Linked DNA regions of Xenopus tropicalis. The protein of the gene in region 2 interacts with the protein of the main gene of each other region in a biochemical or structural test. Links are inferred from orthologs where the notes say so. Each region holds a gene or a part of one and is shown on either strand. Other genes may lie near its edges. The genes, in order: sarnp and ddx39a.

The links.
Region 1: the proteins of ddx39a (region 2) and sarnp form a complex in vitro, tested with the Homo sapiens proteins (2 studies listed by BioGRID). The link is inferred for Xenopus tropicalis from reciprocal best matches to the Homo sapiens genes DDX39A and SARNP.

Annotation. Positions count from the first base shown.
Region 1 is NC_030678.2:138,206,063-138,209,893, forward strand, and holds part of sarnp (SAP domain-containing ribonucleoprotein), read right to left. Parts: intron 3,255-3,831; coding exon 3,208-3,254; intron 382-3,207; coding exon 314-381; intron 1-313. UniProt on the Homo sapiens protein: Binds both single-stranded and double-stranded DNA with higher affinity for the single-stranded form. Specifically binds to scaffold/matrix attachment region DNA. Also binds single-stranded RNA. Enhances RNA unwinding activity of DDX39A.
Region 2 is NC_030679.2:134,604,096-134,607,188, forward strand, and holds part of ddx39a (ATP-dependent RNA helicase DDX39A), read right to left. Parts: coding exon 2,976-3,093; intron 1,985-2,975; coding exon 1,764-1,984; intron 1,562-1,763; coding exon 1,378-1,561; intron 637-1,377; coding exon 518-636; intron 432-517; coding exon 300-431; intron 187-299; coding exon 77-186; intron 1-76. UniProt on the Homo sapiens protein: Helicase that plays an essential role in mRNA export and is involved in multiple steps in RNA metabolism including alternative splicing. Regulates nuclear mRNA export to the cytoplasm through association with ECD.

The DNA.
Region 1 (3,831 bases), on a different chromosome or scaffold from region 2:
TTGCAAGGGGAGTTGATTATTCTTTCCAAATACATTATAGGCAGAAAGCAGATCTTTTTTCACATAGAAATGTTAGACAATTTAGACATCATGAACAAAACTTCATTTAAAGCAGTTAAAAAAGATTCTTCACAGTAACGGCAGTTAGGTTGTGGAAAGCCCTATTGGGTGATGCTGTAAAGGCATATTCTATTAATGGATTTAAGTCACATAGATATGTCTGAATGTGTATTTATATATGCAATGGTGGTCATTTAAAGGGGTTAAACTTGATGGAATTTGTTTTTCAACCCAAATGAACTATGTAACTTACGTATCAGCTGGTTTGTCATCAGGTTCTTCTTCCTTGACTGCAGCGACACTGCTCTTCTGCTCCTCTTCCTGAAATAAAAGGAAAACAGATTACCAGGGATTTGGTCATGATTTTTATGGTATAGTGTTTATTACTAAATACACAGCAAATAATATAATTCACTCTGCCATTTAAAATGTTATTCGTGAACCAACAAACTTTTTTAGTAATATTGGTGTAGGCAATCATCTCAGTGCACTGTGCCTTATTCTGGGCTTTCAGAAGCAGCCAACACTGCACAACAGAACTGCTTTCAGATAAGCTATTGTTTCTCCTACTCAGTGTAGCTTAAGGAGCCATGACTTGGCTTTTTACTGCTATTTTCAAATCTACCATTAGGTAGAGCATGGCAGCATTTTTAGTTATGCAGATGTCAGAGACCTGTTATGCTTACCTTCCCATTGTTCTGCTGAGCAGCTGCTGGGAAACTAACATGTATAGCCCCATGTCAAATTTAAAAATTACATATAAAAATATAAAAAAAAAAATTGTTCGGCCTTTGTAAATTTAGTGCAGGATTCTGCTTAAGCAGTGCTATTAACTGACACAGGACGCATTTTGGGAAAAAAAATGTGTTTTCCCATGATAGAATTTTGAATTGAATGGGGGGGGGGGGTTGTTGTTGCAAAAACACAATAGAAAACTCAATTATACATCTGCATTTTGGCCGCAAAAAATCCTCAAATCATGATAAAAACTCACATTCAAATGTTAATAACTATGTCCCCCACAGTGCTAAGAAGGGTTCTTCTTGGTTCTGCAGAAAGACTGAAACTGACCACAAACATTTCTATAAGCCAGGTGAATTATTAAATGATACTTAGCACAACAGCAGACGGACTTGCATACAGGGAGCAGCAATTCAAGATTGACCAGGTTCACCTGGTGCTTTATAAATGATTATCAAAACAGTATATATAATGAGCCCTGACTTACAGGAAGCTCATATCCCACACTCTATTTTGATCCCAACTAAGATATAATTGATACTTATTGGTAGAAAAGAATCATACTGGGTGTATTTAATGTTTAGATAATTTTAGGGATCATCTGTAACACTGCATAGTTCTATATCAGTACATTTCTTATTTTCCCACACAGGCTTTCTTTATCAATTAACTATTTATATGTTTGAAGGCATCAGTTCTACAAAGAGAATAAAAAAAGCAAATAGACTAAAGCTTATGGGTCTCCAGGACCTGAATGAACATTATGATGGCCAATTATTTATATTGGGGGGGGGCAAGTATGCTTGTTAAATGCCGGTGCATTCTCTGTTCCAACCGGGTCTGATTGCACTAAGAGAGAACAGCAGCCAGCGACTGCCTACATTTCTTGTGCAGCTGAGAAAGGGATGGTTGAGACTGCCTGTTACAGACACCAGGTTACATAGTTACATATGGTTATATAGTTAAGCTGGGTTGAAAAAAAAGACGAAAGTCCATCAAGTTCAAACCCCAGCACACACACAAACCTATCCTGACTAGAGATGGGCAAAAGAATTTGCTTTCTTTGACGCGGGCATCGCTTTCTCTGGTGCGCCTCGGCTTTGGACGCGCAAAAGAATGACGCATGCATTAAAAAAAAAAAAGCTACGTGCACGTCAGAGAAGGTGATGCGCAGTGGATGTTATGGTCACGCAGCAAATTTTTCCGCTCATCCCCGATTCTGACCTATCTATACACTCTCATACTATGCATAAACTATAGACACACACATCAATACTAACTGTAGATTTTAGAATCACAATAGCCTTGGATACTGTGTTACTTGGATACTCGTTATCAACAAAATCCCCTAGGTCCTTTTCAATTAGGGATACCCCCAGCACACCACCATTTAGTGTGTAACTAGCATTTAAATTATTTCTACCAAACTGCATAACTTTGCACTTTTCAACATTGAACCTCATTTTCCATTTTGCTGCCCAGTGTTCCAATTTGCAAAGTGGCCGCATCCTGTATGGAACTTATATGTTTGTCACAATTTAGTGTCGTCAGCAAAAATAGAAACAGTACTTTCAATGCCCACCTCCAGGTTATTCAACTAACACTGATCCAATTAGAAAATGTTCCATTTACCACTACTCTTTGTAACCTATCATTCAGTCAGTTCTCTATCCAATTACAAATATGTTTCAGGCCAATATTTCTCAATTTTATCATTAACCTTATGTGTGGTACTGTATCAAATACTTTAGCAAAGTCCAAGTAGATGACATCCATTGCCATTCCCGTTTACTTCCACATAGAAGACAATTAAATTAGTCTGGCAACATTGGTTACACATAAAACCATGCTGGCACAAAGCTTTCCTACCACTGGTGTCAGACTAACAGGCCTATAGTTTGTAGGCTGTGAAGGGATGCATTTTTGAATAACAGAACCACGTTAGCAATTTGTCAGTCTCTTGGCACCATGCCAGACCTCAATGAATCCTGAAAAATTAAGTAGAGGTTTTGCAATCACAGAGCTAAGCTCATTTAATACCCTAGGATGAATACCATTCGGTCCTGGACCTTTGTTTACCATTACATGTTTAAGTCTCTTTTGAATTTCCTCCCGAGTGACCCGTGCATCAGTAGTTATATTACTAGATTTGTGTCTATTAAAAAGGATGCCTTCATTAGCTGGATCCTCAGCTGTGTAGACAGATGAAAAATAAGAGTTAACAATGTCTGCTTTTTCTCATTCTCATCAACCCCCCTGTGATAAGAGTCCCAACCCTTGAAATGCCAAAAGTAAATGACTACATCTTTATTGGGATATAGGTTCCTGGAAGTATATACATTCATGCACACTATGGGTTATTATATTACTAGTGCAATTTTCGTTAATGGTTAGTCCTGCACTTACTTCTGTTTCTTCACCCAAAACATCTTCTTCATTAGCCTCTTCTTCAGCTACAAGACAAACCAGAATACAAAAAAAAACATTACTAAAGATCCATCAATATGGAGAATAGCCTGTAACTGTAAAGTCAGCAAACAAACCCAAAAACATGTTCACATGTATATTAGAAGCAACACAGTACTATTTGGAACTACAGTCACATTAACATGCATATCAGTGCAGCAATAACTTGGAGGTATGGAGGGCACCCCACACAGTGACCAGAAATGTACTGCACCTGCCCAAATTGAAGGGGACATCTGGTGCACCAGCTAACAGGTAAGCAACTAGAATTACAAGGGGGTGACTAACTTGGCAACCCATAGTTATTTTACTTTGTGTCCTCTAAATGTCTTTACATTTGTCTATTTAGTTTTTGCTTTTGGACATTTTTCATCATTTCTAGATTGCATGATTGCAATCTAGAAAAAAAATCCACAATCCAAAATCACAAGAAAACATAAATGATATGTCCTTCTATGTGAATTATGGTTACTGTTTTTAGCCTCTTACAAAAAAAGTCATTTTAAAAATATAGTTTGTGACACTATTGAAGCAATCTATGTAAATAAATATGATAATTATGGT
Region 2 (3,093 bases):
TAGCTTCAGGTTTGATCGGGGCCACCTAGTTTGCACTCAGCAACCCCCCCCCAACCCAGGTATCCTCCCCACTCACCTCTCCTCCTGCGACATGTTTCTGTGAATAGCGATAGCAGGGAAGTTTTGTTCAGTCAAGAGCTGGGCCAGAGCCATGCATCTCTGCACTGATTTCACAAAGATCACCACCTGTGGGAGATATCAGAAGTTAGACCAGAGAATGTTCAAATACATTTGAAAAATGTAGTCAAGCACAATACCATAAGAACATATCCAGGGTATGAGATGTATAAAAGATTTACCTGATTAAACTCTAATACGTCCAGTAGATCAAAAAGCTTGCGGTTCTTCTCACTGTCTTTTAACTTGACATAATATTGCTGCAGGCCATGAAGGGTCAGCTTGGTCTCATCATCCACAAATACCTCCATAGGCTGAGGAGAAAACAACAGCGATAAGGACAGAGAACATAATAGGAAACCTTCCTTAGAGAATGGCACGGCCCAGCTGAACTACTTACATCTTGCATGAACTTCCGGCACACAGGGCGGATCTCTTTACTCAGGGTGGCACTGAACATCATGCACTGTTTCTCATGGGGTGTTAGGCGGAAAATCTCCTGTACATCTCTTCTCATATCTAAAAGGGAGATAAATCATAGTAAGTCTCTATTCCAATCATTTGCCCCATCCCTTACACCATTATACAGTGTTTTGCATCGGGTCATAGATTGTTATACATTCTGATAGGACCAGTTACACTGAAAGGGTCATTTATGTGCCAATGTTGTTTTTAAAGGAACAATTCAGTGTAGAAATGAAACGAGGTAAAATGTTAACGGATGTCCAACACAATAGACAGAACTCTACATCCTGCTTTACAGCTCTAAGCAGTTAGCAGTCAGTGACGTTAGGGAGGGAGGGCATATGGGACAGAACTATTCAGTTAGTTTGTGAGCACTCTGTTCAGATTTAAAAGCAAACTAACTGAACAGTTATGTCCCATGTGCCCCCCCCCCCTAAAGTCACTGACTAACTAAGAGGTTAGAGAGCTGAAAGCAGGAAGTAGAGTTCTGCACATCTGCTCACTCCAGCCTTTGTAGATTACATTTTTGCCTAACTATATTAGAAACATTTTTTTATTTTATTTCATTTTTACACTGAATTGTTCCTTTAAAGCGGAACAGCCGGGGATTAAGGTACACATTTAGAGTCAATAGAGCGCTAAAGGTGTAGAACTGCACTTCCCACACCACCTCTAGTAAAGGAACAAAAATGGTGTGAGGATGGGAGTTATTCATCATGTAACACTATGAACAGTTACTTAAGAGTCTATGACCATTCTGCCACAGCAGCCATGCACCCCAACAGGCATCCTCACCTAACTGCTCCAGCATCTTGTCACACTCGTCCAACACAAAGTGTTTCACGTTCTTCAGATTCAGGATCTTGCTTCTGACGAGCGCCAGGATGCGACCCGGTGTTCCGACAACAATATGGGGACAGCTCTTGCGTATGGTGTCTTCATCTTTCTTAATAGAGAGCCCGCCAAAGAAAACTGCCACCTGGGAAAAAAAAGGAACATTTCATAGGTTTAGCATTTCTCAACCCAGAAAAATGGCAAGGGCACCCAACACACAAGTACATGGCACCCAGTTATCCTGCTTCCCCTGGATGCTACATTCCCAGTATATGAAGGTGGCTCAGCACATGGAAGGCCACAAGCTGAAACCCTGATCTAGAACATGAGATTAATGAAGTACGTACTTTGACAGTCGGCATGTATTTGGAGAACCGCTCATACTCCTTGCTGATCTGGAACGCTAGCTCACGCGTGTGGCACATAACTAGGACAGTCACCTGCCCTTCCACGGCTTCGGTTTGCTGCAGGGTGGCCAGGACAAAGACAGCAGTCTTCCCCATACCAGATTTTGCTTGGCAAAGGATGTCCATGCCCAGGATAGCCTGAGGGATACACTCATGTTGGACTGTAAGAAAAAAAAAAAACGAAACATTTATATTTAATGACATGAGAAATTAAATTTCAATAAGCTGAACTGATTTTTCTACCAGTGGGATGGAAGATTGCTACTAAGGCAGCACCTAAGGGTCCATATGATAACTGTGCCCAGAGGGATTGCAGCTTTGGTGTGGACAAAAGAAATCTTAAATTAGGTGCATTTGCATAAATATGTATAATTACTATATTTATAGTTAACACCTTATATAAAGCAGTAATTATGGCATTCCAACTGTAGCTAATTGCTGGGGTCAGTGATCAAACCAAGGGCACAACCTTAACTTGGAAGAGCAGTTATATTAGCTGGCTGGTCGGGTTACTTACAATAATCATCAGAATAGAATGAGTTTACAGCTGAATTAATATCAATGTCCTTATTCACCCTTCTCATTAAGCAGCTAGTAAGGCATTTAAACTGCTCCCACAGTGATAAGGATAGATGACCCAAACAAGGACAACGCTTGGGTCACAGGCTGTAGGAAGGCAGTAACAGTTAGGGTGAAGACACACTGAGCTACTAAAAAATAGACAATGCTGATCATTTACGGATAATAAGAATTGCCTCTGCTAAAACACACATACAATTGTCTATGGCAGGGGATTTTCTGGAGTTTAGTAGCCATGACAAGTAGCTGCTGCTACTAAGTAGCCCAGTGTATCTTTGCTCTTACAGTAGCTTTGGGGCTGGTCGGGTTACTTATCATAATAGGATTTAATACGCTCACAATTGCATAAATAATGAAGTTTCCATTCATGCCTTTTATTAAGTTGTTATGCAAGGCATTTAAGCTGCTGCCCAGTTCCTGGGGGTCGGGGACCTAAAGAAAGCAGGTGAAGTGTTGACCTGGAAGCAACTTAGGAACCACAAGAAAGTTAAGATTGAAATTAGGACTGGTATTACTGATGGGCCACTGTCGGTTCACACTGTATTTCTAAGCCTGTGTGTAGACATTGCTTACCCTCAGAGGGATGTTCAAAACCGCAGTCTACGATGGATCGGAGGAGTTCGGGTTTCAGCAAGAAGTCTCGGAAGCCGGAGCTGTGGATGGACACGTAGGAGCCTTTCACCTCTTTCCG